4 linked regions of the Saccharomyces cerevisiae S288C genome follow. The gene in region 4 interacts genetically with the main gene of each other region. Each region holds a gene or a part of one and is shown on either strand. Other genes may lie near its edges.

Region 1 (2,977 bases), on a different chromosome or scaffold from region 4:
AGGTTTCTCATCCGGGTGATATTATCACATAACCAAGTGCCAAAAAGAAGAAAACAGGAAGCTGCTGCTACCAAGAAACAAGTGACTTTAAATTAGGAGCGGTAGACGCTGAAACGCCTGTTTAACACGGCCGCAAATTGTACCCTATTGGCCAGGTAGTATTGTCTTGTGTTCAGTTTAAGGGGGCGTTTCTCTAATATTGGGACCCGGTTAAGGTGCAAGGGCCCATCAATGCATTCAAAAATCTCCTGAATGTTCAATTTTAAAGTTGTCGTATGATATGTGAATAATCTGTAGTGAAGCAAACTTAATCGACCGAACTGCCCTTTGGTAATTGCCCGACGCCTTTGCTTGTCAGGTTTCATGATAATTATTATTACAGTGACTCTATATATAATGAAATACCGTGGGGTCGAGGAAGAGGACAGGCAATAAGCCCCTGCGGGCAGAAGTCGTACCCCTCCCTTGCTTATCCGAAGGAAATCATGTTCTTGATTGCGCTAATCCAATATTGGTGTTCTTGCATCCCATGTACTTAGTAGATCGTTATCCCGTTTATGATAATTGATTTTCCAGTAGATGAACCACTTAGGTAAAACAGTAATATAAAATACTGAAGCAAAGAAAATCAACAGCATATAAATCCAACCTAGAGCAACATTCAAAAATGAGTATACAATAATATTTGAAATTATTGGTACTACCTTATTCGTCACCGATAAATAAGTGGGTAGAATGATATTCAACTGAATACAAATTAAAAGAAAACAGAATACGTCGATTGTGGTCGAAAGCCTCGATGATAGGACAGCAACAAGGGCGACAAGTATATTGGTGGAAAGGTTAGAGGGTTTATCTTTGGACTTTGTTGACGAAATAACGAAAATGTACCATAGGGTCAGCCAAAAAGACAATGTCCATATGGAATCAGATGCAGTTGTTTTAGAAAGAGATTTGAGGACTGGAGAGAGAGTCAACATTGCAAATGTGATAATCAGCGAAGACTTTACGTCCATGAATGAGGACAATAGAGGGTCGACTTTCGTCCTTGATATAATCAATGTTATAAATGAAAGGAAAATAGTTGGCGGAATAGGATCGAAGCCATAATAGTAAATATATGTAAAAGTGATGTAAATGAAAGAAGTGTTCAATATGGTTTGGTAGAAACTTATAAAATCCAACCTAATTTGAGCGCGAGCAGCTTCTGATAATTTTCTATCAGACTTCTGGTTACTCTCAGCCTTTTGTCTTGCTCTCAACTCAATAAAACTTGGATCTGTATAATTATCTGGGTACTCCTGTTTCAACCATAGTAGGCGCTTCCAGGGAGATCTTGTCATTGTACCTATTGAAAATAACCAAATATAAACTATGAAGTCTCTTTAAGGTCATACGAAAATTGAGAGGATAATGGACCTGCAACAGAAAGTTTGGATGCCTCTGATTATATTCACCACCGTCTAACAACAATACTTAAAGTGTGATTGTACCTTTAAATTGGTTTAAAGCGAAGAGGTAATGGAAAGTTGAAATTTTCATTTTTAGTTCATAAATTTAGTAGCCGCGAAGTGGTCTCAAGTTCGGATATCAAGATAATCAATAGCCACGGACACCTACTACCTGGCCTTCGCTGACATGTAATTGACATTGTTTTTGAAAAACCTAACCAAAAATTTACAATTCACTATCTTCATGAAAGATCTCCAGAAAAAAAGCTCAGTACGAAGGCAAATCACGAATGAAGACGATGAACGGTATGGGGAGGACAGCATCCATGACCTTCCCAGGACAATACCAAATGTAAATCCCTATATTAGAAATTCAGGATTTAGGCCATCTTATTCTTCCCAAATTCCTTCGACAAGGAGTCTATTCAATAACTATTATAACCGTTCAAGTGCTAACACAGTTGGTAATGACACAATAGATACCGATAGTGTTAGCTATAACGGAGTTGCCAAATTCCGGAGAAATAGCGTAGATATACCGCTACAGACACATAACAGACTGGAAGTACGGCCTATAATCGACAGACAAGACTATTTGTGGAGAGAAATAGATGCCCTAGATGACGTTAAAAGACAGGCGCAGGCAACAGAATTGTATGATCAGTTTCCTCCAGGGTTCGAGAACAAACTGATGCAATTAAGGCAAGCACATAGTAAACTACTTCAAGTCTTGAGGGACCGCAATGCTAAAATAGAAGAGGAACAACGTCGTGAAGTGGCGGTCGCAACCGCTGCTGCCATGATGACTAGAACGCCATCACCAACAGGAAAATCCGTCGGAGATGAAGCTACAAGCAACAACATGCATAGTAGCAGCGCAATTAGAAATCCAAATGGACCAACCGTTGATCCTGAAGAAGGAAAGTACATTCAAGAGCTGGTGAACACTATAAGGGAATTACAATAGTAGGGCCAAAACACAACTGATAGTAACAATCACCAAGAGATTCTACATTAAAAGTGTAAGAATTCCCACATAGGAGTGCTCTAATTATGTCATATATGCTTAATTTTCAAAATAAAATAGCCATAAACTGTGTTGTGACGCAACTGCAACTCCCAGATGAAATACGGTCCGGTAAAGATAGGAATATTCTACTCTACAAGCATGAATATTTTTTAACGCGGCGCAGTACTATACAGCATAACAGGTCTTCCACGCATGAGAAACTGTCCATGGCTAAATTAGTTCCTCACACAGAATTAGAAATGTGCTGTGACAATGGCACATACGTAGATAAAAGATAAATATAATTCAGAATGGCTGTGGCGACAACTATTATCATAGAGGTGTCCCATCGAGCGAGCCTCATTGGCCGGGTAATCGACATCAATATTGAACCAATCACGACGCTTTTTCTCTTCACCGCTCATTCGGACCTTCACCACAGGTTTGGGTAATTAAAATAGCAAGGGATTATAATTGCAGTTAGCAGTTTATGTTGACAAGTTTATACTGTGCTAGG
Region 2 (6,075 bases), on a different chromosome or scaffold from region 4:
ATATATGATAGTAGATAACTTCCCCACTTTAACCCAATTTATCCCAGGTGAGAACGTTTCTTGTGAGTACTTCGTTTGCGGCATTATCAAAGGATTCCTTTTCAATGCTGGATTTCCATGTGGCGTGACAGCACATCGAATGCCCCAAGGCGGACATAGTCAACGAACCGTTTATTTGATCCAATTTGACAGGCAAGTGCTTGACAGGGAAGGTTTGAGATTTGGCTGATATCATCTCAAAACATCGGTAAATACCTAAAACCAAGAAAAGGATAAAGAGTTTGTATATTTACTGTTGATTTATAGACATATGCTCATATATTCATTACGAAGAATGATTCTTTTAATTGTCGATTTCCTTGAAGTACATCTATCATATAAAATCATTTTCTTTTTATATTTTGGAATGTTTTTGTGCTAAAAAAATCATTATTCTGGGCGACATACAGTAAAATAATATTTAATATGAAACAAAGCGTATCATTTTGTAGACACCGATATCACGTTTGAACAGGTGAATAAAAATGCTCTGAATCAAACTGACCCAGCGTACGTAATAAAGAATCCTGATCATTGCATACTTTCATAAACCAGCCTTTGAATTTACAATCTTGTAAATAGCCTTCCCAAGTTTTTGATATTGAATTATTATGCATGTCCATTTTTATATCCCCAGTGTTTGTGTGCAACTCAAAATCTTCATTCCATTTTATCCTCTTCATCACCAAATTCTCATAAAATTTGCATGATTTTTCGTTACCCACGACTATAATTATTCCTGGTCCGTCATCACGTATACGGAGGCATAAACCCTTTAGTGATAGTTCTTTACTATTCATTTTCAACTTGAATCTTATTTTTGGGTTCTGTAAGTTTTTGAACTGGAACACCTTACAATGGTATACTGTCGGCTTTTCAACGTTCATATTGACTGCTTCTTTCCTTCTTTTAATAGCATCTTCATGTCTTCTTTCGTTTTCTTCCAGATGTTTTCTCTTCCTGAGGTCCACTTGGTCTTTCACTACTTTTTCCCAGGCAGTTGGGTCCGTTATGTTTTGATCATTCTCGAAAACACTCATCATGTTGCTTAGTTTAACTTTCGGTTCAGGCTTAGGTAATAGTCCTAACTTAATTTTTATCTCCCGTGCTTCTCTTGCCATTTTCCTTCTATTTCTCCTTAATCTTTTCCTTTCATGTTGCGTTAGATATGCTTTGATTGATACTTTTGCCTCGTTGATCTTTTCAGGTAAGGGATGTGCTACATATCTTATAGATGGGTGCTCATCATCATCATCATCGTCTACTTCATCAATATCTTCTGCTAGCTTTTCTTCGGCAGGCGATGTGCCATTCATGTCATATTTTTCCATCAACTCACCCTTTTCATCTAAATAAGCCGTGTCCCACCATTCATAGCCATGATTATTATCATAGTATATCTTGAACTTTGACAAATCTAATAGGAACTTATCCTCATGTAACTCTAAATTGGGTAAATCACCTGACTCAATTAATTTTCTTTTATCTTTCTCGTCTTCTTCTTGTTTTAACTTTCTTTTTAATTCTTCCTCCTCCTGCTGTTTTTGTAATGTTCTTTCTTGGGCAATTCTTTTACTGATTTCTCCCTTTTGGTAAAACTTCAGACCCCGTTCATAACGCCTGTTAAATCTGCTCGATGAGCCTCGATCGTGTGGATCACTAAGATAGGGATTTTCACCAGTTTGATAAGTTCTTCGGATAAGATTCAAATTTGAAGACTTTAACGCTGAGTGAAGTTCGGTTTTCAGACCATGGCCCTGAAACTTCTCCTCATCATTGGTAGTTTCTTCACGCCGTAAGAAACTTGGCTTATAATATGGACTATTTTGGCGTTTCGGATTACCTTTTTCATAGGTATTTCTTGGGGGCATTTTTTCAAGCCAATTCAATAGATCGCCTGATGTTTTCTGTGAGTCTTTTTGATTGTTTTACGTCATCTGGCATTCTAATACTTTACTAGGACTATTTCTTGTTATTGATCAGTGCGGGATCCAGTCAGAAAAACGCAGATGTGAATAATATTAAAATTTGTATGCTAAAAAAATTAACATAGTCAAGAAACTTTCTTTGAGTCATGGCTCTTTACTTTAGAACATATAAGAACAATTCACAGTGCCTGTCCAGAGGCCAAAAGCAGTATCTCTAGCTAAATGGATATGTTAACTACTGTTTCATTGGAGAAGCAGTTTTTAACCTTCCTGTTTCGCGAATATAGCTGCCAAGTATTATCCAAAATTGGGGAGTGAAGAAAAAGTAATTATCAGCATTCATTTTCGAGAATTTTACCTAAACTTTTTCGATAACATTGATTGTTCACTACGTTACATAGCAAGCCAGAGCTAGAAAAACTTATTGATTACAATCAATAGACTTGCATCATACATAACTTCAGGGTACTTGCAAGAATTTTCCTACAAAAAAAGTTGACTACGACAACCTAAAGGAGAACAACAGATTTTGTCACCTCTCGTACTAGATAATTACCAAAAAAATGCTACCGAAAAGGAGATAAAACACATCTAGAACATAGTAGTATCATGTCATGGCTTTTTCAAATCTAAAATCTGTTCCCTGCAGTTGTCATTTTCTCTTAGTCGTCATTGATATTGTTAAAAAGTTCCGGAATACTATTGTTAGGTCGTATTCTTAAATGAATAAGCTGTCAAAAAATGGAGTAGTATGGCAGTAAATTTGGGAAGCACAAAAGAAAAAATAAAATTTCTTGATGAATGTGCCTTTCACGAATGTGACTTCTCTTCCATAAATCCTGTTTCTCATCAATGAGCAGCTTCTTCCTCCAAAGATAACTGTTGAACCCTATAATTGTGACAGGTCAAAGAAGCCAATATAATGAAAAAGATAGCCAGTATCTATATTTGAACCATTTTAAGGATTTCACTGAATTGCAACGATACTGTCTTGTTTCGTGGACCTTGCACTTCGTAGATTCATCATGTTCTATACGTTTTTCATTTCCGCATTCTAAACCCAAAAGACAAGGGTTACAGCGTATGTTACGACACAATTCAATTCACCATTCCTAAGAAGTTAATATTGCAATATTTTTGCAACAATAACAACCGCATTGCTTTGAAAGTAATTGCAATAACTATGGATAAAGATCCATTATCTTGACTGGTGCTACTTTCAAAGGAGGTATACCTAATAATATAAAGCTTTGAAAGAATTGACGTGATACTAACCTTGTACATTGATTCTCATTTTAACGATTTTACAAACTCACTTAGCACGCATTATTGCCGGAAATACGAATAGGAACCCAGCTTATAATGAACACTGTCCACATTTCTTTTAGGTGAGAATGCGATGATGGAATTGCAGCATTATTAATTACTAGTGTAGGGTATTGAATGTCATTTTTGTCGATTAATATGTACAATACATGTTATGCATAAAGGCACAAAGTCATAAAAATGTTATAGAATTATATCGAATAAACACATAAGAACGTAAGACCAACTACAGCCTTCCGAACCCAAACAATCCGCCACGCTTAGGCGTATTTTTACTCTCATCTTCCTTTCTGAAAGATGACGGGGATCTCGATTTACTCTTAAAAAAAGAGAATAAACCACCACCGCCTGAGCTTGGTTTCAAGTGTGCTGAAGTTACGACCGGTTTTTTAATACGTTTACCAGAGTTCGAATCATTAGATTTTACTTTTCTGAGCGAAGATGAGCTACTGACTTTCCTCAAAGATGAATCCTTATTACCAGAACTCACACTATATGACTTTGAAGGTGCCAAATGGGGAAGGCCTGGAACGGACAACTGATCTGTGTCACGATGATGGTGATGATGATGTTGTTGTTGCTGGTCCCCTGGGCTGTCTAGCGAGTGCCTAGATTTAATAGCACCCAGTGCAGCATTACCATCTACATTCTTGACACTCGACGCGAACTTGATTTGCGGAGAACGTGATCTCGACGCACTCGCACTTGAGTTTATATCGGTAGCAGTAGGAGAGCTTGGTTTTGATTTGTCTCTTATCCTTGACTTAGAGCTTGATCTTGACTTGGATTTGGATCTAGATGAACTTGGATTGTCCAAAACATCAAGCATGGACCTCTGCGGGGTAGCCACATGCCTTGGAGGAGCACCACCTGTGATGACTCTTTTCAGTTCTTCAAAGCCCGACTCCATAGAGTGTGCTCTCTTTTCGTCTACATCCCCATTTTCAATACTATCAGTGATGCTATCGATTTCTAATGAAAACTTTAATGAAGATTCCAAAATAATATTCAGTTTTTTCAAATGCCTCTGTCCCGGTGGTATTGATGAATCATGATCGGCGTCATTTAACTGCTGAGCCATACTCTTTCTACGTTTCCTTGCCATGGTACATAACTTTTCCTTTACCGAAATGTTAGAGGTTAAGGATTTCACGGACATCACATCATTCTCATCATCCTTAAAAGCGTTAAGCTCATCATCAGATGCTTCCTCTCGGCTACTATTGTTAGCACCATTAGCTTCTGGGGCATAACATAGTGAATCTATAGAATAATCGTTATCTTGCTTCCGTTTGATATTTGAGATAGTTGGAATGCTAGCATCTGCTGATTTAGAATGGCTGAACCCAGGCTTTGGACCGCTAGTATTTTTTTGTTTCGTTACCTCCGGTTCTTTAAACTCTTTTTGCAAATCTATTTCCAAATCGAACATTCTCTTTGCCGGTACAATAAACGTTGGAATCGGAAAATTAGTACACAGTTTATCTGTCAGAAAGTTCGATTTCCAACGAACTAAGCTGTCTGTTCTCTCCCACCTCAAAGTGCTAGATACAAAGAAATCAGGTAAATAGATGTTTATTGCCTCAAGAAGCGTTTTTTTAGTCTTGCCAATTAGGATCTCGACAGTGACCTTGACAGAACGATCTTGCGGAATTATGAGTGTAACATAATCAAAAAGATCTTGCAATTTACGTTCTATTTCGTTCTGCGTATAACCAGATGTCCACTCGATAAAATTTTGGTGCTTTAATTTGTTGTCAGATTCCTCAGGCCCCAGAGAAAGTGCCCTTCTTGTACATATGGATCGTGATCTCGATCTGGATCGTGATCTTCTTGCTGAGCTAACACTCCTGCTATCATCCATCATCATTAGCATTCTTTTTCGCTCACTCATCGAATCATTGTCTTCGAAATTATTCTTAGTCAGGCGGGGCAGGTTTGCCAACACAACAATGTGGTCTGTATTTTGAATCAAAGTTCGTAGCGCCCAATCTAGTGCTACCCAAGTATGTTTCCTGCCGCTGATGTGGCACAATATCGTTCGAGGAGTGTTCGGGAACCCAACCTTTTCGCTCAAAACACGCTCTTTCCGCTTTTGAGACTTAGTCAAAGGCGTAAAGCCGTCTTCTATGGGAGGATTGAATTTTATTGTGGGAGTAGCGCCCTCAGACGACTTTTTTTTGTTTGGAGGAAACAGTATTGTTGGGTAATTGAAGAAATCGCGCTTTTGTTCTAATCGATGATCTATCTGATTTTTCTTCTTGATCCATAGTTGTCTCCAATTGGCATACGCCCTACTAATCACAAGAGCGTCATTGATATCGGTGGGTGTAGTAGGATAGTCTTCCCTTACAATTTTACCATTTTCAGAAATCTTAAACATCTTACCTATTTTGATGTTTCTTTTAGAGGCAGGAGGTGGAGAAGAATACCTGCCGGGACTAGCACTGCCCTCTCGCCTACTCGAATAGCTATTCCCGGAGAAGTAGTCGGCATTGTTGTCCGAGGTAAAGCCACTTTCGTCGTCATAATATTCCTCCATTGTATAATCTGCAGAGATCTGCACGCCAGGAAATTCTCTTTTCTCTTCATCTAAGGGCGAAGATACCCTTGATCTGGGAACTGTGTTGAAAGATACGCATGGTAGGTACTTTTCGTTGCTGCCTTTCCCCTTCTTTTTGACGGAACTGCTCGAGTCCAATATCGAGGCTAGACTGCGCCTGTCATCATTGTTGGACTTGTCCTCGTCCTGCTTAGCGAGTATGTCCACCGTATCCTCCAG
Region 3 (6,468 bases), on a different chromosome or scaffold from region 4:
GACGGCAGCAAGATTTTCAAAACCCAAGCAACCGATACTCAACACAATGGAGCCCAACAAATTGGAGTAATGACCTTATTGGGTAATCAATATTCCCAAAAAGAGCATCAGACGATCTGGTTATGGTTTTTCTTGACTATAACCTTAATTATGAGACTAATGTCTTCGGGAGGTCCCTTTTCCGATTTTCCGACTCTTTTCCGTTGAAGAATGTACTTGTGGTTTTGAATCCTACGGCAGTTATTGCGGCGGTTTGGCCCTTTCTTTCAAAGATTGTGATGGAAATAATTGATTGTTCCGGGAAATGTGTCTTATTTTCTAAAAGCATCTTTTTTTCTCTCCAATTCTTCGAGCTATTTCCAGTAAAGGAAAAAAAAGGTTTGCTGTAAGGGTGAATATGTCTCCAACCTCTTTGAGGTACTGCGTTGCTTCATTCACCATTTAATATAAATAGTACATTGGCAGCCCTCTTTCAAACGTCAATTATTCTCGCTTGCCTAACTTTGTTCGGACCGAAATTATAAAGGCATTCAATCAGTAACAATAATTGCTATTGCATAACTATACCCTCTGCTAAATAAAATAAAATGTCCGTTTCCAAGATTGCTTTCGTTTTAAGTGCCATTGCCTCTTTGGCCGTCGCTGACACCAGCGCCGCCGAAACTGCTGAATTGCAAGCTATTATCGGTGACATCAACTCTCATCTTTCTGACTACTTGGGTCTAGAAACTGGCAACAGTGGATTCCAAATTCCATCTGATGTCTTGAGTGTGTATCAACAAGTCATGACTTACACCGATGACGCTTACACTACCTTGTTTAGTGAATTGGACTTTGATGCTATCACTAAGACAATTGTTAAATTGCCATGGTACACCACAAGATTGAGTTCTGAAATCGCTGCTGCTCTTGCCTCCGTTTCCCCAGCTTCTTCCGAGGCTGCATCTTCTTCCGAGGCTGCATCTTCTTCCAAGGCTGCATCTTCTTCCGAAGCTACATCCTCTGCCGCTCCATCCTCTTCTGCTGCCCCATCTTCTTCTGCTGCCCCATCATCATCTGCCGAATCATCTTCTAAGGCCGTTTCTTCTTCTGTCGCTCCAACTACCTCTTCTGTCAGCACTTCTACAGTCGAAACTGCTTCCAATGCCGGTCAAAGAGTCAATGCAGGCGCTGCCTCTTTCGGTGCTGTTGTTGCAGGTGCAGCTGCTTTATTGTTATAAAAGGGAACCTTTTACAACAAATATTTGAAAAATTACCTCCATTATTATACCTTCTCTTTATGTAATTGTTAGTTCGAAAATTTTTTCTTCATTAATATAATCAACTTCTAAAACTTTCTAAAAACGTTCTCTTTTTCGAGATTAGTGCTTCTTCCCAATCCGTAAGAAATGTTTCCTTTCTTGACAATTGGCACCAGCTGGCTACTCGTTGCTCGAAAACTACTCTCTTTTATTTTTAATTTACGAACGATTATCTTTCGAAGGAACGACCAAACGAGCTAAATATGGGCATCGCCAACGTTAAAAAAATGGACCCTACCGAAGACGTTATTATGCCAAGGCGCAGCGAAGAGTCTTTCTCCTTGAGAAAAAATATGCATGAAACAAAATAGACAGGACCAGACCCTCTTCGGGAAAAAAAGTCAAGATTTAACACGTGGCTACACCGGCTGGCTTACAACCAACCAACATAAGATCAAACAACCCTCAAGTTTAGAAAATGCCTTAATAGCAACCTCTAAAACCATAGACTTCTCCATTTTCACGTGCTAAAAAAGTTCGGGTATGATGTCATACAAATCCTTTCAACAAAAGATGCTTCAAGATCAATGGCACTCGAGATCATAAATCCCTGCAGAGCAGCGGCTCTGCATATAGAATAACAAACAAATCGTATTTTTCCCGAAGCCAAGAAAAAAAGGAGACTATAACCTTTCAAGCCAGACGGAAAACTATCTGCCCAAGGACAAACTGGCATGGGCTGCTTCAATGTTCGGCTACCTTTTTTCTCTTTTAACGGGGTTTGGTATTTTTTTTCTTTACTTCATAAACGAATGTTAAACGACTGTGAAAAAGCCATCCCTGGATTATGCGAGAGTACTCTCAGGGCACCCGTCCGTTTAAAGACCCCAGGCCAAAATAAAAATTTCTTGAAGGAAAAAAATACACAGGGCCTTGAACTGAATACAAAGCCATCTTTTTTCTCGTTTGTCAGCACGTCCCAGAAAAACGCGCAGCCGTAGCTCTTGATAAGTGGCTTCTGCGTTTTGCAACGCTTTTCTGATCTCATGTTTTCTTATGCTGCGGGACATCATTGTCGTTGAGAAAAGTTTCAATTTCAAACGAACTGCCTACCGTTGCATTCTCCTTGGAGAAGGGCCTGAGTTTAGGGGAATCACGTCTGGCTATTACATGCTACATCGTGCAGTAGCTCCTACATCGCTAACAGGCAAATCCTACACCCTCTTTAAATCGTTTATCTTTTATATATTATCTGGCCTAAATTTTTACATATAAATATTTATCATATTATGACAGCTCAAATGAATTTCCGGCACCAAGTCATATGAGCACTCGCTACTGTTCGAAGAACAAAAAATATAAAGCTTCTACAAAATTTCCAGATGTCCATAGGTTACAAAGACAACTTGATGTCAACTATTCTAGCTAAAGATAGGAAATGTGAATTTCCCATCAATTTCGAATGTTCGCCCTCCCAGATAACTCTTATGCCTGAAATGTTCTCTTTTAACAATGAAAGGAAATACCAAACCCTGATACCCTTGATGAAAACATCACATCTAATTGATGATGACTTGAAAGATAAATTGAATAAGTGCGCTTTCGATTTTTTCTCCGGAAAACAAGCGAACAGAACGAGTGACGGGACTATTTCAAGATTAACAGCAAGTGGAAAAACGTCACCGATACTGCCATTGCAAAATATTAATATTGTAAAAGCAGAGAATACCGGTAACGGTAAATCAGATCCATATAGCTCAATTAAAATAAGCAAACCGACAAAAACCGTGATAAAATTGAAATCTACGAAAACCAATACAGCAGGACAGAGGACTCGTCATTTCTGTAAGATCTGCTCTACTGGGTTCACCACTTCTGGTCATCTTTCAAGACATAACAGAATCCATACAGGTGAAAAAAATCATATCTGTCCGCATGAGGGCTGTGGACAGAGGTTTAGTAGACATGATAACTGTAATCAGCATTATCGAACTCATGCAAACAAGAAGAAAAGAAACTGGAAGAGGAGGGAGGCTAGCAGTTGATGTGAGTGAGCTCAGCCAAAAACATTTAAATATTCAAATAACGTACAAATAAAAGACTGATAAATAGTAATAAAACTAAGCGGGTTAGTAATACTCACCAAGAACAATAGCAGGAACGATAGTCGGTTCTCTTTCGTAATTTTTTTAAGTCACAACCCGGAGGGACGTGAAGTTTCAAACCTTATTCATTCCGGGATTACCCTCTCCTGTGATGACGTTTAGGCAATAAGGACTAAAAAAAAAAAAAAGAAATGCTATGGCAAATTTTATTGATAGAAGTGGTAATGATGATGGAAGGGCTTTTGAGCAGGTGAATAGAAGGTAGCTAACGGAAAAGAGTTATTGCACCCTTAATATAATGAATGATGAAATTAATGAGCCACCGCCCAATATATGTGAGCAGTGCTTAGGTGATGAGGCTAATATACGAATGACTAAAATTCCACAAGGCTCTGAATGTAAGATTTGTACCTTACCGTTCACCTTATACCATTTTAAGACGTCTAAACGAAGCAATAATATCATTAAAACATTAATATGTGTACGGTGCGCCACTCAGAGAAACATTTGTCAATGCTGTATGCTTGATTCAAGATGGCACATCCCTATACAACTGCGGGATCATTTAATATCCCTTGTGAACGAGGAAAACGTTATGACGGAGGAAGCAAAAAACGACATGATGAAAAGGTTTCTGTCACTAAAAAACGTGAAATTAGGAGGAGCTCAGATTACGAGTGATCCGTCAGAAGCAGATAATATCGTTGATAAATTGAAAAATATACTTCTGCGAGCAACATCAGATGGCCCAAGTACTCCGTTAATAAAAAACACAACTGCATTGTATAAAAATGAAAAAGGTGCAAATGAGGTCAAAAACTTGGAAAAGTACGCGTCCGTGGACATTTCTCATATTTTGAAGAAACTACCCTTGAATGAATCGTTTTTAAAAAACCCCTCCACCAAATCATTTTTTCTGTATAATATTGATGCCTCGATCCCTGAATGGAAAATAACTGATACAGTTTCGCAATTATTGGGTATAAAGAAATGGAAGGATGGAAATTCATTGTCATTAATAGTCAACCACAAGGCGAAGTGTGGTGGCCTAAGATTTCAATCTAGTGAATTGGGGGAGCGGTTTGTCAGTAAAATAAGTGAGACACTTGTCACACCAAAGGGCCTAAAGAGAGGAGTTTTACTTATTGACCGTTTTAGAATCTTTATCATTCCGTGGTCGTCTGGCTTTTCAGCTGCGTCATTCGGAACCAACACTGCAGAAAATATAAAACTTAGTTTAAGTTTGAATAAGCTTATTCAGTTGGAGCTAGGGCTTTCTTTTCCTACAAAAAGCACAGATAACGCAAAGAATGACAAGAAAAAGACATCAAAAAAAGTTCATAAGGACAGATCAAAGAAATCGAAACCTCGCGCTAACAAGTTAACAATATAGATGAAACGTAAGAAAAATCATGGGTTGAAGAAACGAACTGTTTGATCAATTTCGACCATCCATCTACCTTGCAAGTAATAAACAAAAGCAGGTTGAGTGGGGAACTTTATCTAAGTTGATCAGTATATCTGACAAATTTATACGGAATGCTGCAGTTTGGATTAGCACGAACATTTTATCTGTACGGTTTGTCGCTTTTAGCTGCTCGGGCTCTTCCTCTCGGTTACCGAGATGATAACTCGGCCGAATTTTGTAAGTACAAATAAAAAGAAAGTGACACAATTCTAAAAGTATCACTATAATTTATTATTTTGAGAAAGATAAGGTTCCATAGGTACATGATATATTGACTGATTTCTGATAGCTCTTTTTTTTCCAATATCGATAAAAAACTAAAATATGGAGGAACTAGGTTTAAAAAGCACTTTTCCATATGAATATGGCTCAGACTTTACAATGATAAGAACGGAAATGTTAAATACTACGAAGAGCGAAACAACTATTTTATTTTCCAATATAAAGAGCATTTTGGCCATTATTTGGAAATACTCATTTACATTTTTAAGATCTTTTTCCGATTCCATCAAACTTATTATTGACGATGTTGTCACTATTGGCTCCCGAAATTTTGCAGAGAGATTACAGATTGAAGCGAAAAAAAACAATGACCAAGAAGATATCTGGGCATCCACAATAATTTTGGGTGTGATTATCGGGTATTTAATCTCTTCTATTAAGAGAAAGAACACTTTTCCAATAATGCCTACGAGCTCACCTAAAATAGATGATTGTAGGTTCAAGACTGGTGATACCATATCCATTGTAATAAACTTTAATGAAGACTGCCTCAATAATCGAAGTGACGTTACCGAAGAGAGAAATTATGAGGAATCCACAGTTTTACATTCAAAGGAGTCAGTTCTCAGCATTGGTAGGCAAAATATGGTAACTTTGAACCAAAGCGATGAAAATTTCACCTATGGCAATTTTGATGAGTACGACTTATTAACTAAAGATTATACAACAGAGGTCTTAACGCGATCACCTGGCTCGAATCCCGAGTTTAAAGCAGTGGTAAATAATACATTACTTGATAGCGCGAATGAAACGCCGTTTAAAGGTATTGAAAAAAGTATTAACGAAACAATGGTTAAAGTTCCTATGGGATGCGATGTATCTCTCTCCCATTATGGCAGACAATACGCGCCTGGAAATATTTCAATTATGAGAAGCTTCACTGCTCGAGATAATACTAAATCTGTGAGTAGAGAAATTCGTGATATCTGTAAATCGTTTTTGATTATAAAAAGCCAATTTGGTGACGAACTTTTCCTGACTATGTTCATGGAAAAACCAGTTTTCTTTGATAACAACATCCCAATTGAAATAACTGGAGCATACCGAGAAAAACGAGAGCGATTAGATGAAGTGATTCATAAGGATCTTATCCGCTATGATGAAGTTCAAAATTTGACAAGGATTCGCAATTTGCTCCGGGTTAAAAGTCAAAAGATTTGTTCCAGGAGACATAATAGTTCGGTTCCCACAAAAAAATTGTTAGTTAATGATAAAGGCGCAACTTCGATTCTACTGTGGTACTCTAACTATTCATAGATAAAGTTTATTTGATACATAATCCGGAAAATGTAAGATATGCCAACTGTTAACTAGAAAACATCTGTACTCTATATATCGGAAACAAAAACTTTACGGGTACAACCATGATGAA
Region 4 (6,106 bases):
CTGTTGGCTCCATGAACACCACCCGAAACTTCACCAGCAGCAAATATCCCATTAGATAGAACGCTTTCCGAATTTTTCTTAATTACCTGAGATTTCTCATTAATTTTCACACCACCCATTGTGAAATGAACAACTGGTGTAACTTCCCCAACATAAACAGTTGATTCAGTCGAAATATCTTTATCAAAGGCATTGATAATCAATGGCCTATCAAACGTATCCTTAGTATTAACATCGGAATAGCTCTTCAGTTCAGTTACCAGTTCAGAAGCTGTAGTTTGTAGGTCATATTGTCGGATCAGATCGTTGATTGACACTTTTTTGATTAAGTTTTTGGACATATAAAAGTTTATGTTATTCGTATAGTTCTCGTAGACTTTGTCGCTCATTACCAAAAGTGCTCTATTATCATTTTTCGGACATTTAGACTGTATTTCCATGGTTACTGTATCTCTGGTGCTCAATTCATTTGTAAACCTTCTTCCAGTGGTGGGATGCAATAAGATGCCGCCTAAACCCCTCAATGCCTCTGCAGCCAAAAACTTCCAGTTATTTTCACGGTCATTTGGATCAATGAAGCCGGTAGGGTGTACCTGCACTTGATCCATATCAATCAATTCGGCACCCAACTTTGAAAGGATTTTTTGACCATCACCTGTAGTCTGTTTGCCATTAGTAGTTGGCAAGTGAATCAAATTTGGTGAGTACTCTTTCAACATTTCCTTAGAGTAACCAAATCCACCTGAGCAAAACACGACATGGTGTGACTTCATGATTTTACGGTTTCCGTTCTCGTCCATATATACTACACCAGTAACATGACCTTGATTATCAAGCTCGATATCCACTACTTCACTGTTTAGCATAATCTGCACGAGATTGGAATCTTTGGAAGAGATATCCTTTAGTTTTTTTGATAACGCTTGCACGATTTCAAAACCTGGTGGTAATTTGCCAGAAGATCTATGGGTCCTTGGAACAGAGTGACCGCCCAATTGCGCAAGGAGGTCTAATTTCAAATCGAATTCTGTTTGCAACCACCTGATAGCACTCTTGGATTCCTTAGTCAACTTATCCATCAGTGATGGAACCCCTCTGCCTTTAGCCGAATGCAAAGTATCTTTCAAAAACAATTCGGGAGTGTCCATTACCTTTAAATTTTGTTGAGTGTCTGTGTGAGCACCATTAATACCACTAGAAGCCTTTATAGAATTCCCACCAATAGAAGCCGCCTTATCCAAAAGCACAACAGGAATTCTGTATTTACTAATGAGACGATTACTTGTGGTTAAGCCTGCCAAACCAGAGCCAATGACCACCACTGGTTGTTTCATTGACGTTTGATCTGTGCCACTTAATGTTCTTTTCAAAACTATTATCAATACGAATATTGAGACGTAAATGAAAACCCTTCTCACAGATCTAATCATTTTCCTAAGACTCGGGATGATATAGAATTATTAAGGTATTTCCTATCATAAAATCTTTCCCTTTTCGGCGGTTTTGTTTTAAATCTGGATTTCTAAGCAAAGGATTTTCGCTAGTTTTTTTTTTTCAAGTAGCTCGTAAAAAGAAAACGAGAGCTACTCCTGCATGATTCATATAAGATTTGACGAGTGTATAAGATACATTTGTATTGGTGTACATTATGAAATCTATGTAATCTACCTAAGCGTAAAAAGGAGATCTTGCCTTCGATAACTAGTACGGTGGAAGAATTACATTTAATAACGAACGGGACAATATGATATCATAGAAGAAAAAAAAATGAGTCCCGATCACTATTTTACTTCATATCTGCAGCTCGGACATGTTTGAAGATTATAATGCTTGTGATGGTCATTCGAAATAGTGCCTCTTCTAAATGTTTGAATAATTTTCCATAGCTAAAGGTTAAGTTCATCCATTAGTTTCTTTTTTCTTCTTTGCACTAACCAATGCTCCATATCTGCCAGAGTTGGTACATGGATTTCTTGTGTCTGCCTTGACATTTCTTCTTCATCTTCATTCACAGGCACATTATAATGTGCTTTCAAAATGGATGTCCAGTTAGCCTCAAATTCGGTTAAGGCGGCTGTGACTTTGCCATGGTAATAAAAATCATTTCTATCCTTCGGTATGCATTTGGTGTTTATAGAACCCCCATCATTCTGCCTTTGAGACTGCTTGAGCCATTCTTTTACTTCAGGCAATTCCAGGGCTCTTCCAAAATATCTCTTACCATTTATCAGCTTTCCTGAATTCATCAGCACATGACTGTCTTCTAACCTTTTCCTCTTGGTTTTTTTTTCCATAAGTGTATGGTCAATGTGCCACTGCCATCTCTTCCATTCTTTGAAAAGATTATTAAGTTCGTCGTTAAGTTCCGCAATCTGCATTTCATTTAAAGACGGATCATATATTCTTGTGCTTTTTTGTTTTATCTCTTTACTTACTTGTCGCTTCCATTCGTTGGCCTCTTTTATGGATTTTACCTTAGACACGTTCCTGGGCCTCTGGTAACGTGAATAATCCTTGTATCCACCTGCCGACTCTGCTTGCTGCTCTTGAAATCGTACCAGAACTGAGTTGGCCTTATCTACATTTCTACTCATTTTGAATGCACAGGTATCTGATTACTGATGTGGTGCGCCTTGCGATATAACGGTGTGTCACTTTTATTTGCTCTTTCATGCATCCTGAAATTATTTCACCGCACTACGCAAAGAGAACGGAGAAAAAGGTATAATAGGGCAAATGATCATTGACATCGTGATCGTAAGCCAAAAAAAAATACAATAGGCTCCCTAAATAAGTAGAGTAAAAGCTCTTGAGATGAAGGAGAATGACATGAATAATGGCGTAGATAAATGGGTAAATGAGGAAGATGGTCGAAATGATCATCATAACAACAATAATAACTTGATGAAGAAGGCCATGATGAACAATGAGCAAATTGATAGAACTCAGGATATCGACAACGCCAAAGAAATGTTGAGGAAAATATCAAGTGAAAGCAGCTCGCGCAGAAGCTCCCTGTTGAATAAAGATTCATCTCTCGTGAACGGCAATGCAAACAGTGGCGGTGGTACGAGCATTAACGGAACAAGAGGAAGTTCTAAGAGTAGTAATACACACTTTCAGTATGCCTCCACGGCGTATGGTGTAAGAATGTTGAGTAAAGATATATCTAATACCAAAGTGGAACTGGATGTGGAAAATTTGATGATTGTTACGAAACTCAACGATGTCTCACTGTATTTCTTAACAAGAGAGTTGGTAGAATGGGTTTTGGTACATTTTCCACGTGTGACTGTTTATGTGGATTCCGAATTGAAAAACAGCAAAAAATTTGCCGCTGGCGAGTTATGTGAAGATAGTAAATGTAGAGAATCAAGGATCAAGTATTGGACAAAGGATTTCATCAGGGAACATGATGTTTTCTTCGATTTGGTAGTGACTTTGGGTGGCGACGGTACTGTTCTTTTTGTAAGTTCCATTTTTCAGAGACATGTACCACCCGTTATGTCGTTTTCATTAGGGTCTCTAGGATTTTTAACAAATTTTAAGTTTGAACATTTCAGGGAGGATTTACCTCGGATTATGAATCATAAAATCAAGACAAATTTACGGTTGAGGTTGGAGTGCACAATTTATCGTAGACACCGCCCTGAAGTAGACCCAAACACGGGGAAGAAAATATGTGTGGTGGAAAAACTAAGCACACACCACATTTTGAACGAAGTGACCATCGATCGTGGTCCAAGTCCTTTTCTATCCATGTTAGAATTGTATGGTGACGGCTCATTAATGACCGTTGCGCAGGCGGACGGACTGATTGCTGCTACTCCGACTGGGTCCACGGCCTATTCTTTGAGTGCAGGTGGGTCATTGGTATGCCCAACCGTCAATGCAATCGCTTTAACACCCATTTGTCCACATGCATTGAGTTTCAGACCCATCATCTTACCAGAAAGTATAAATTTAAAAGTGAAAGTCTCGATGAAGTCAAGGGCTCCAGCATGGGCGGCTTTTGATGGGAAAGATAGAATTGAATTGCAAAAAGGTGATTTTATAACCATATGCGCCAGCCCATATGCTTTTCCAACCGTGGAAGCCTCGCCCGATGAGTTTATTAACAGTATCAGTCGACAACTAAACTGGAATGTGAGGGAACAACAAAAGTCCTTTACGCATATTTTGTCCCAAAAGAACCAAGAAAAATATGCACATGAGGCGAACAAAGTCAGAAATCAAGCAGAACCTTTAGAGGTAATAAGAGATAAATACTCTCTGGAAGCAGACGCTACTAAGGAAAACAACAACGGAAGCGATGATGAGAGCGACGATGAGAGTGTAAACTGCGAAGCTTGCAAATTAAAGCCTTCGAGCGTCCCAAAACCTTCTCAAGCAAGGTTTTCAGTATAATGTTACATGCGTACACGCGTTTGTACAGAAAAAAAAGAAAAATTTGAAATATAAATAACGTTCTTAATACTAACATAACTATTAAAAAAAATAAATAGGGACCTAGACTTCAGGTTGTCTAACTCCTTCCTTTTCGGTTAGAGCGGATGTGGGAGGAGGGCGTGAATGTAAGCGTGACATAACTAATTACATGATATCGACAAAGGAAAAGGGGCCTGTTTACTCACAGGCTTTTTTCAAGTAGGTAATTAAGTCGTTTCTGTCTTTTTCCTTCTTCAACCCACCAAAGGCCATCTTGGTACCAGGAATATATTTCTTTGGGTTAGTCAAGTACTCTGACATGTTATTTTCGTCCCACAACACGTTTTTCTTGATATTGGCATCTGTGTACGAATACCCTTCAGCTTGACCAGAGTGTCTGCCAAAGATACCATGCAAGTTTGGACCAACCTTATGTGGGCCACCCTTTTCCACGGTGTGGCATTGTAGACATCTAGTCTTGAAAAGTGTAGCACCTTTCTTAGCAGAACCGGCCTTGAATTCAGTCATTATTAATTTAGTGTGTGTATTTGTGTTTGTGTGTCTATAGAAGTATAGTAATTTATGCTGCAAAGGTCCTAATGTATAAGGAAAGAATATTTAGAGAAAAGAAGAAAACAAGAGTTTTATATACATACAGAGCACATGCATGCCATATGATCATGTGTCGTCGCACACATATATATATGCCTGTATGTGTCAGCACTAAAGTTGCCTGGCCATCCACGCTATATATACACGCCTGGCGGATCTGCTCGAGGATTGCCTACGCGTGGGCTTGATCCACCAACCAACGCTCGCCAAATGAACTGGCGCTTTGGTCTTCTGCCATCGTCCGTAAACCCCGGCCAAAGAGACCGGAAAGATCGGTGAAAACATCTTGATCTTGCTCCCGGGAATTTTAGATTCAGGTAGGAAATTGATTACATCAATACTGTTACCCTGAATCATATTCGACGATGTCGTCTCACACGGAAATATAATTCATTTCTTGGTTTTCCAAAAAAATTTTCATTTTTTTTCACTTTTTTGTTTCGTCCTCCTTTTTTTTTTTTTTTTTTTATTTTTTTTCCTGTGTTCACCTTTTTTTTTTTCAGTTGACATCTTTCTGCATTCTTTTCTGTGTTTTTTTTTTTTTTTTTCGTTTTTCCATTGTTCGTTCGTTGCCTGTTTTTTCGCCCTATTGTTCTCGAGCCTAAAAATTTTTTCCTTTCCTGCTTTCCTTTCTTCGTTCAAAGTTTCCTATTCCATTGTTCTCTTTGGTAAACTCATTGTTGTCGGAACTCAGATATATTCAGGTCAATTTACTGTACTTCAATTGACTTTTTTCTTGAAATTTCAACTTGCCTTTTCAACTTGTTCTTCTTTTTTAATCTTATTCTACACTTTAGTTCCCTTACCTTGTTCCTAATTATTGTCTAGCAAAAAGAAAACATACACCTATTTCATTCACACACTAAAACATGTCTGACGAAGAACACACCTTTGAAAATGCTGACGCTGGTGCCTCCGCCACCTACCCAATGCAATGTTCTGCCTTGAGAAAGAATGGTTTCGTTGTCATCAAAGGTAGACCATGTAAGATTGTCGACATGTCCACTTCCAAGACCGGTAAGCACGGTCACGCCAAGGTCCATTTGGTTACCCTTGATATCTTCAC

What was found.
Region 1: mutations in ISY1 (region 4) and GPI2 together harm fitness more than expected from each alone (negative genetic interaction), as found in Saccharomyces cerevisiae (2 studies listed by BioGRID).
Region 2: mutations in ISY1 (region 4) and PRP3 together harm fitness more than expected from each alone (negative genetic interaction), as found in Saccharomyces cerevisiae (2 studies listed by BioGRID).
Region 3: mutations in ISY1 (region 4) and ECM2 together harm fitness more than expected from each alone (negative genetic interaction), as found in Saccharomyces cerevisiae (3 studies listed by BioGRID).

The regions. Positions count from the first base shown.
Region 1 is NC_001148.4:408,809-411,785, reverse strand, and holds GPI2 (phosphatidylinositol N-acetylglucosaminyltransferase), read right to left. Parts: upstream 1,344-2,977; coding exon 501-1,343; downstream 1-500. Other genes in the region: YPL077C (uncharacterized protein), read left to right, coding at 1,696-2,418. UniProt on the Saccharomyces cerevisiae protein: Part of the complex catalyzing the transfer of N-acetylglucosamine from UDP-N-acetylglucosamine to phosphatidylinositol, the first step of GPI biosynthesis.
Region 2 is NC_001136.10:1,403,945-1,410,019, forward strand, and holds PRP3 (U4/U6-U5 snRNP complex subunit PRP3), read right to left. Parts: upstream 1,911-6,075; coding exon 501-1,910; downstream 1-500. Other genes in the region: TRAPP subunit TRS31, read left to right, coding at 1-229; JIP4 (Jip4p), read right to left, coding at 3,520-6,075.
Region 3 is NC_001134.8:366,855-373,322, reverse strand, and holds ECM2 (Pre-mRNA-splicing factor ECM2), read left to right. Parts: upstream 1-3,644; coding exon 3,645-4,739; downstream 4,740-6,468. Other genes in the region: TIP1 (putative lipase), read left to right, coding at 588-1,220; NRG2 (Nrg2p), read left to right, coding at 2,624-3,286; CNM1 (Cnm1p), read left to right, coding at 5,139-6,353. UniProt on the Saccharomyces cerevisiae protein: Involved in pre-mRNA splicing. Facilitates the cooperative formation of U2/U6 helix II in association with stem II in the spliceosome. Binds to RNA.
Region 4 is NC_001142.9:525,185-531,290, reverse strand, and holds ISY1 (Isy1p), read right to left. Parts: upstream 2,595-6,106; coding exon 1,887-2,594; downstream 1-1,886. Other genes in the region: OSM1 (fumarate reductase), read right to left, coding at 1-1,430; UTR1 (NADH/NAD(+) kinase), read left to right, coding at 2,815-4,407; CYC1 (cytochrome c), read right to left, coding at 4,627-4,956; ANB1 (translation elongation factor eIF-5A), read left to right, coding at 5,910-6,106. UniProt on the Saccharomyces cerevisiae protein: Involved in pre-mRNA splicing and cell cycle control.